Callithrix jacchus: one gene and its partner. The protein of the gene in region 2 interacts with the protein of the main gene of each other region in a biochemical or structural test. Links are inferred from orthologs where the notes say so. Each region holds a gene or a part of one and is shown on either strand. Other genes may lie near its edges.

The links.
Region 1: the proteins of APBA1 (region 2) and CNTNAP4 form a complex in vitro, tested with the Homo sapiens proteins (2 studies listed by BioGRID and IntAct, with this or other methods). The link is inferred for Callithrix jacchus from reciprocal best matches to the Homo sapiens genes APBA1 and CNTNAP4.

What each region holds. Positions count from the first base shown.
Region 1 is NC_133521.1:33,671,173-33,676,214, forward strand, and holds the start of CNTNAP4 (contactin-associated protein-like 4), read left to right. Parts: upstream 1-1,552; 5' UTR 1,553-1,826; coding exon 1,827-1,911; intron 1,912-5,042. UniProt on the Homo sapiens protein: Presynaptic protein involved in both dopaminergic synaptic transmission and GABAergic system, thereby participating in the structural maturation of inhibitory interneuron synapses.
Region 2 is NC_133502.1:95,473,100-95,477,585, forward strand, and holds part of APBA1 (amyloid-beta A4 precursor protein-binding family A member 1), read left to right. Parts: intron 1-932; coding exon 933-1,112; intron 1,113-3,389; coding exon 3,390-3,602; intron 3,603-4,486. UniProt on the Homo sapiens protein: Putative function in synaptic vesicle exocytosis by binding to Munc18-1, an essential component of the synaptic vesicle exocytotic machinery. May modulate processing of the amyloid-beta precursor protein (APP) and hence formation of APP-beta.

The sequences.
Region 1 (5,042 bases), on a different chromosome or scaffold from region 2:
GGGGTCTCACCATGTTGGCCAGGCTGATCTCGAACTCCTGACCTCAAGTGATTCCCCCCACCTTGGTCTCCCAAAGTGTTTGCTTTGTTTTCCTTGGGCCTAAGTTTTTTGCTGCCACTGATAAGGGTCATAAAGGAGGTATACCCTGATTTAGGGGCAATAAGTCATGTAAAGAACGGTGAAACTGGAGTCCAAAAAAAAAAAAAAAAAAAACAAGTCCAGTCTTCAGCATTAACTTACTAACTCTATGACCTCTTTGACTCATTTATAGTCCCTGTTCTTGTTTTCTCTTGTAAAATAGGAAAAGAAAAACTATCCATTCTGCTTTGTTTGCAGGCATGAGCCAAATAAGTACGTTTAGTTTTTATGGGTATTTCTGTCATTTCCCCACTCTTTCATCATTCCATAAGAAAATGTTGTTAAAGGCTTATGTATCTTCCAGTTTGTAATTACCAAGAGGTGCTTGAGAACTCCAGGATTTCCATTTCTATAAAATCTAGCACATTATCAGTAAAACCTCTTGACATTTATTTTAAATAGATTATTTTTCTGCTTTGAACCATGTGACATGCTTCTTGTTATGTGTTAGTAACTCCATTATTTAGACATTTTAAAATTCCATTCAAGAAATAGTTGTATCCATGGACCAGCCATTCAAAGAGCAATTTTTCTTTAGTCATTGATCTTTCGAATTCAACTTTACTCCTCTCTCCTTTAAGCCACTTGAATTACATTATCACATTGCTCAGTGTTGGCGTGAGTGTGTATGCGTGTGTGTATGTGTAAGGGGGGTCCCTTTCTTCAGTATTCCATTATTTGCTACTTTGGGCCTTTTTGGAAATGTTATTAAAATTTTTGATTATAGAATGCTACTGCATAGTCACAGCATGATTCATTTGTCAAAATAATTCTAGTCAAAATGTTTCATTTGTGGATTTGTACACCTGAAGGATTAAAATAAGAAATGTTAATTTCTTGCCGACTATAACCAGATAATTTTAAATATCTGCCAAGCAGGAATGTCTGTTCCCATGTGAGGAATTTCCATAATAAAATCCTGGCACCCTCGCTGAAGAGTATAGTTGTATAGAAACAGAGAAAAACAACAGCAAGTTATTTTCCCCGAGGACGGTTTTAGCTACAATTTCCCAATGCTGCTTGGTTATTTCTGTCTTATTTTATGCTTTTGTTTTGAAACATAATGCAATTTTACCTGGATGCACTCCCGGATAATCAGGAATAGCTCAGTATGTTGCCTGGCTCTGCCAAATGCAGGATCTCCAGAAAATCAGAAGGCTCCACCGCCTGGTCCCTTCCCCCACCCACACCTCCAGCTGGGAGAAAAGGGTTAAGGATTATTGGAAAAAAGAGGAGAAGGGAGGGAGCCCCAAGGAGGCCCACGAGCGGGAGGCCGCACCTCCGGGAGCGGCGGAGCTCCGAGCCCTGTTGTGTGTTTGGAAGGAAGGATACTGCTGCCAATTTCTGGGACCGCTGCTGCGAGGAGTGGGCGTGGCCTCGGCGATGTGGATGCTTGTTAGGAAAGATGCTGAGTGCTTTTCAGTGAGGAGTCAGGGCGGTGTGTGTGTGTGAGAGAGAGACAGAAGAGAGAGAGAGAGAGAGAGAAGGGGAGAGAGAGACGGAGAGCAAGAGAAGAGAGGGAGGAGGGAAGGAGAAAAAACGGAGGGAGGTGAAGAGGAAGGGAGGGAGAGAGACAGAGACCTAGAGGGGCTGAAGACCCAGACAGAGCTGGGAGAGCGACTGAGAACAGGACTGGAGCGCTCCGAGAGCCTCTCAAGATCTTTTGGGGGAGCCCAATAGATGTGAACATGGGATCTGTCACGGGAGCTGTCCTCAAGATGCTACTTCTGTTATCTACTCAAAATTGGAACAGAGTCGAAGCTGGGAATTCCTGTAAGTATACCGCAAATGATTTAAAACTTGCAGGGGGGCTCTCTGCAAAACTTTGATTCTGTTGTTTTGGTGATGATGATTTGCAGCTGGGATTGCTGCAAAGCATATTGCTGTAAACGAAGCATCACTTAAAAATCTTGCCAATGTGACCGGTTAACACTTGTCTCTCCTCTGGATCTGGTCAAAATAGGCAAAGTGTCATTTCTCTTTTTGTCTACTTGCAGAATCTTACCCTCTGGTCTTTGAATATTCATTGAGAATGTCCAAGTTCTAGTAAAACATGAAATTAACATCTTATCTTGGGAATAGCCTGTGAATGTCTTGATTTCTTCCTCTTTAAGGAACTACTGAATTTTATTGGAATTATGTCTAACAGGAAAACAACCATCAGACTTTACATTATGCTGCATTGGCTTAGATTTCTGAAGTTTGCAATTGGGCAGACCAGTAGCTGGCTGCATCTTTAAAATGATGCAGGCTAATAACTGAAATGTACTGCAGACTTGAGGAGCACCAGCTCTGGCAGAGGCAAATCTCAGTATTAAAAGCTGTGCCCTCGCTGCTATGAGAATGAGACTTAGCACTCTCCTGAAAGAGGGGCCTCTTCCTACATTTTGCTTAAAGGAAAATTGGTCAGGTGATCTTTCAAAAGTAGGATTATTTCATGGTTGAGTGTTTAACTACAAAAATTTGTAATTGAATGTTCTGATGAAATACAATGCATTCAGGGAAGATTGAAACCTTATTTACAGTTGAGATATCATCCAGAATAATTTGGCAGACTCCCTTTGACCACTCTTCATTAAAGATAGAAAAAGTTTTAAAAGTTACCTTTGGCTTAAATTTTTTAAATGGGAGATTTTCCCCCTCCTGATGAATGACAAACAAGTTTGGCAAATACAACTTTTTATTTTTTCTTGGATTTTAAAGTAAAACTTATTTGCTTTTCAAGAAAGGGCTAGGAGGCCTGTCGAGGAATTTATGGTGCTGCTGTATCATCAGATTCAGATTTGGGGAACAGAAGCAGTCATCAGGCATTTGCTGTGGCACATCACTTGACTATACTAAAGAGCTCTGATGTGGGAAAAACATTACAAATTCATGGGCACAAATCAAATGTCGGCTCATGGAGCCTGGCTCCCGCGATTTCATGTTTCCATTCAGAATGAGCTCATTTAATGTCACAGGGCATCCATCACTCTGAAAGAAGGGAACTTCACTGCAGGTGCTGCACATTGGATTCAACTTTAGTTTGAATGTTGTGATAATCTCATGAATCAGTAAATTGTGTATAATTTCACCAGTCAAAACCTTGGAATCTTATAACGGTAGCATTTGACAAACATTTCGACATACATGCAAATAACGACAAGACAAATGCCCACACACAAATGGAAGTTGTGTAGAAAAGGCATAAGTAATTCATCTTCCAACCACTAAAGTTCAACTAAAAAGAAATGCACTAGAGGTCACTCTTACAATGTAAAGCACATCACCCCAAGCATTCTTCCCTCAAGAAAAGCAGAGCTTAAATCTGGCCTCTACTCAGTTCAGTCTTTCATTAGACTGCCTGTAGTTGGGTTTATAATATACTAATCTAATTAATCGGGCTGCTGGTTGTTTATGTTTGTTTTCTTGAAGCTGAATAAAAAGTGTAGGATGTACATCAACATTAAATAGCTTTCTTTTGCAATATATCTTCTTAGAAAAGAAAAGATGCTTACAAAGATCTGAGGAGAGTTTAATATTTATGACTGCTTGGCTCTGGTTGGATCCCCCACTGAAACTTAACATTTCTGTGCTGGTTCTATATTCTTTCAGCCTTGGTGTGTTTAGGAAGTAATCTAATGCTCTTTTAAACATCTTATGAACTTGCAAAACCTATACAATTTCTCATTATAAGGAACATTTAAAGTTGGAGTTCTTGGTTACCATACATGTGGCATTGACTGTTGACTTCAAGTGTCAAAAATAAAATGAAATGAAATGACCTTCTATAATTAAAGTTGCACTTAGTAATTTCTTGTGAATATTTTCACAGTATGATTTGCAGCAGTATGTGTAAAAGAAAATATTTCATTTCTCAATTTTTATTTCATTTTTCAATATTTAAGAAGCATTTTCTTTTTGGAAGAAGTAAGATCTACTTGTACCAAGCCATGCTGTAAAGCCCTTCATATGTTTCATCTTTTTTGAAAGAACAAGTGTATGTATGTTTTCCAGCAAGATTGGGAATTTAGTGTAAGACAAGCCACTGTCAACCAGCATATGTATTTTTAAAGTATTATGATAACTCCAGTAATTCTTCTGGACAAGACTATATTAACAGAAAGTGAATCAGTCTTGAATACCAATAGTAAAATCAGAACGAACTGAATATAAATGAATAAAATTAAAGGCCTATCTCTCAAGTGACCACCAAGACCTTTCCCCTTTATTTACATCTGATGAATCAGGAGCAAATCTGTCATCTACAGAGTCAGCCAAGGTTGCCAATTTGAAAGCTTTCATGGGACAGAACTCTGCCAAACCAGTACAGCTCAGGGATTAGGTGCACTTTAATTTGAATGTTAATTGCTCCAATTAATCAGCAGGGAAATTTTACATTAGAGGGATTCTGTTCAAAGACAAACATATATATTCACATATATGTATATGTGCTCATTTTTATATAGGTATATGTGTATATAAATATCTATAAACTGCTAGACTCATATGCTTGCATATTTTTGGTGGCCCTGTTAAGTTCTTATCTGTCTAAAGATGAAATACGTTCAATGAACCGTATTCTCTACCTACTTGTACCCTGTCTGACATTTCAAGAGCAGTGAACTATTCATAACTTTTTTTCCTTTGTTCTCATCAAGATGAGCTTTTTGAATTATATTGAAGTGTCCCTTTCATCAAAGTTTAGAGATGGATGTAGAAGGGCATACTCTTTGAGAAGCCGCCCTGGCTATTCTTGGTTTCTTTGCTTGCTACTAAGAGACATGCACTAAGAATGAAATATTTCTCTATTTTTTAATTGTTCTTATAAATCCAGTTTTTGAACATTAAGATGTGGTTGAGGAAGGGGCCAACTCACCAGAAAAGAAGGAATGGGTGCAGTAGTAAGACTGAAAAGAGTTTCC
Region 2 (4,486 bases):
GATGTGATTTATCAGCAACAGAGATCCCAAACGGCACTGATGTTGATTTTCCAAAGTCATGAAGCTTCCTCCTGGTGAAGTATTAAATGAAGCAAAATACCATCTTCTCTTAATTTACACAGTATTATTATGTTGATTTTCCATAGTCATGAAGCTTCCTCCTGGTGAAGTATTAAATGAAGCAAAATACCATCTTCTCTTAATTTACACAGTATTATTCTTGAAATGTTCAATGTGTATTAGAGCCACACAAAGTCTTGGCATTTATGTATAAATTGAAGTTGAATCCTGGACTCAGATAACTGTAAACAGGTACTGCATATACATGAATGTCCAGTGGGATCTGTGAAGATGGTGCAGGGTGTAGAATGACTCATCACTATATCAAGCTGTTTTTTGCATGGCAGGACATTCAGCATCTCTGACTCCTGTCTCTTGAATGCCTGTAGCTCCCTTATGATCATTGTCATAATCAAAAACATCCCCAGCCATTTTTTTTTTATTATTGAGATGGAGTCTTGCTCTGTTGCCTGGCTGGAGTGCAGTGGTGGGAATTCAACTCACTGCAACCTCCACTTCCCAGGTTCAAGTGATTCTCTTGCCTCAGCCCCCTGAGTAGCTGGAACTACAAGCACATATACCACACCCAGCTAATTTTTATATTTTTGGTAGAGACAGGGTTTCACCATGTTGGCCAGGATGGTCACAATCTCTTAAACTTGTGATCCACCTGCCTCGGCCTCTTAAAGTTCTGGGATTACAGGCATGAGCTACCGCACCCATCTCCCAGTCATTTTGAAAATGGCCCCTGGTGGGCACTGGTGGCCCCATGTAAAACCACTGGCCCAGCAAGTGTAATGTCTAGGACTTCTTCCAAACTCCAGCAGTGCACTGCCCTGCTGACCGTCTTTCCTTTCTGGCTGCTGTTCCAGGCTCAGCTGATTGCACAGTCCATCGGACAGGCATTTAGTGTGGCATACCAGGAATTCCTCAGGGCCAATGGGATTAACCCCGAAGATCTCAGCCAGAAGGAATATAGTGACCTGCTCAATACCCAGGACATGTACAATGATGACCTGATCCACTTCTCCAAGTCGGAAAACTGCAAAGATGTGGGTACTTTCCTGAAGCTGTTCTCCAAGCTGGGTCAGCTGGGCAGGGGCCTGGAAAGGGGGACACCCTGCTGCGAAAGTGAAGGCAGATCAAGGGTTAGGAGTGAGGTATTGTCAGGATATCGTGAAGATACTCACACCCATCTCTCATTCCCTGCTTTGGGGCCCTGTTGTGAAATGCTGTCGTGGACAGGTGTAAACACAGAGGCAGCACATCCTCTGCTCCTGGTCATCCTGAGCTAAGGTCATCCTGATCTAAGTTTTGGCTGGGTCACAGATGCAGATAGGACCTGAAATCTGCCTGTACAAAGCCTTCAATCTAGGTAAGGGCACTGAAAAAGCACTAATCAAAGCCAACTACACTTGGACAAACAGAGATCTTGGGTTTTAGAGAAGAGATGCTGGGCTCCTCTGGGGATGTCTTGTGGCTTCAGACTGAGCTCTTCAGAAGTGCCTGTAAGAAGATGAGGCCATCCGAGCTGGTCTGGAGGATTGGGGATTATAGAGGAAAGCCAAGGGTAGGGTCTATGGAATGGTTGGAAGCCTGGAGGTCAGAAGGCTCCAGATTTATCTGGGAAATGAGGAAGTATGGTTTGGCTAGAGCAGGAGGTGGGCACAGGAAAGGAGATAGATGGACCTGAGGTCTGGGTCAGGACTGGAAGGCCTACAAGTCCTGCTGAGAGGTTTGGACTTGATCCCATAGGTAAAAAGAACTTTTAATGAGAAAGTGATCATTTGATCCACTGGGGTCTGTCAGGTGTCTTAGGTCAGATTCCCCAGAAGCAGAGCCTGAGGCAGGGATTCTTGTTGCAGAAGTTTACTGAGAGAGTACCTAAGAACAGAAGGGATATGGGAAGCAGGGTGGTGGGACACCAAGGAAGGGTGTGGTCCCCTTGGCATGAGCTTCCTTCTGAGCCAGAGGGAAGCTCTAGGGCACAGATCGTATAGGACAGATTTGTCTCACCTTGAAGCGAGGGATCTGGCAAGCCTTTGTACACCATGCCAGTCATTGACCAAGACTACACAGTGGGTAATGTGAATTTATTAGGGCTGCTATCACAAAGTACCATGAACTGGGTGACTTCAGCAACAGAAAGGTATTGTCTCACAGAACTTGTGGCCAGAAGTCCGAAAGCCGGGTGTTAGTAGCGTTGGTTCCTTCTGGAGGCCATGAGAGAAGAGTCTGTTCCAAGCCTCTCTCTTTGGCTTGTAGATGGCTCTCTTCACCCTGTATCTTCACATCATGCTTTCTCTATGCATGTCTCTATGTCCAGATTTCCTCTTATTTTTTTGATACCCATGACAGACAACCATTCCTCTTCTTATGTAAGGACATCAGTCATACTGGATTAGTGCCCCTATTAATCACCTCATTTAAAATCGGTTACCTTTGTCAATACTTTTTTTCCAATAAAGGCACAGTCTAAGACACTGGGGATTGGGAATTCAACATACAAATTTTGGGGGGACACAATTGAACCTTAACAGATGTTTCTCGTTCAACTAAGGACAGTTCTCCAGGGAAGGGGCTGAGTGTGAGCTTCAGCAACTAGGGGAAGCAGACACCAACCTGTGAAGGGGACATTGTCAAGCCCTCCAAAAATACACATGCATGCTCTTTGTTGGATGCTTCCAGTAGGTGTGTTACCTTTCTGTGGCATCTCTGCAGGCCTCCCTCAAGTGCAGGTATCCAACATCAACTTCTGTCTTCTCTGGCCTGGCAATGAAGGTTGTAAAAACGTCTCTGTATCCAAGATATGCACTTCCTCTGTGCACACCCAGCCTTTTGATTGTGTTAACTTCAGCATCACTTTTTTCTCAACTTTCCCCTTGAAGAGAAGTGTTTCTGTATGTTTATTTATTTTTAATTCAAGACACTTAAATGTCGAAGAGAATTGGTGAAGCACTGTGGGAGGGCAAACCTGTGCATGAATTTGAAAAGCTATTTCTAGAAACCATAACACACCAACCACCCACAGATCCCCTTCTCCTGCCACTGAGGACTGAAGAAATTTAAAAAAAAATAGTGACCCTCATGGTTGTGCGCTGAGGCAAGTTTGCTTATGTGAAACAAAAGTGAATTAAAAGAGTGTAGATCTGGGTGAATTCATTTCTTAAAATCTCCAAATGTGCAGAATGCCGAGAAGATGAATTCATCTGGGTTGGAGTCCCCAGGGAAGTGTCTTTCTTTAGTCAAGACAGGAATGGGGGAGAGGCTTTGATTTCTACCTACCCCAGATGGTTACTGATGCAGGCTTTCTAAATGTCTCCTTCCAGGTTTTCATAGAGAAGCAAAAAGGAGAAATCCTAGGTGTGGTGATTGTGGAGTCTGGCTGGGGATCCATCCTCCCCACCGTGATCATTGCCAACATGATGCATGGTGGCCCTGCAGAGAAATCTGGGAAGCTGAATATCGGTGACCAGATCATGTCCATTAATGGCACCAGCCTGGTGGGCCTGCCTCTGTCCACCTGCCAGAGCATTATTAAGGTACCTGAATATGGGGAAAATCAGCTTCTATGGTAGACCTGAAGTGATGTGAAGTGTGGCCTCCATCCAGTCATTAATGTATATGAACAGGCACCAAGAAAGACATAAACACAAAAGACGTGGACTTGCACTCAGGAAGCCTACCATCAAGTTACTGTTTAGAGATTCTTCCCTGAAATTCATTTAGATCAGGAGAAGCATATTTGATTCACATGACACTACTTTCTGATAGCAGCACGTCCATCACAGGCATCACTAGTCAATCACAGCGCACTCCCACTAAGCCCAGACTCAGCCTCAACAGAAATGGCCTCAGCTCAGGAATCTAATCACTAGTAGCCAGATGCACTTGGCATGATTTACCATCCCTGTTAAAAAATCACCAAAATCCTTCAAATCTGAGAGCACTTTTTCCTTCTCAGTGGCCCTGACTATGATGCAGGTGAGTTTGTCCCTCCTCAGAGCCCAGGTAAAGCAACTCACATATGCTAGTTGCTAGAAAAAGAAGGAAACTCTTTTCAGTCCATGGATGCTTTTTCATACCTGAGCATACTTCCTGTTCAATCTGAACTGATACTTATAAGGCTAAAAAGAGCTACTTAAAGGAAAATTAAATGTGGATATTTGAGAAGAAATGAGATTTTCTTAAGACACGAAGCATCCATGTGGAGTCTTTTGAGCACACTGGGACTTGCTGATTGCATGGCCAGTGTGACTGCAATGTTCCTCCTCCATGACATCACCTGTAGACCCTAATGGCTCTGCACCAAGTGCTGTGGCACTGCAGGTAGACTGAGATCCCACAATTTCTTTTGGTCCTGCAGGCCTTTCCTGAAAGACTTAGCTAGAACATAGCTGTGTGCGTATTATGTGCATGTGTCTGT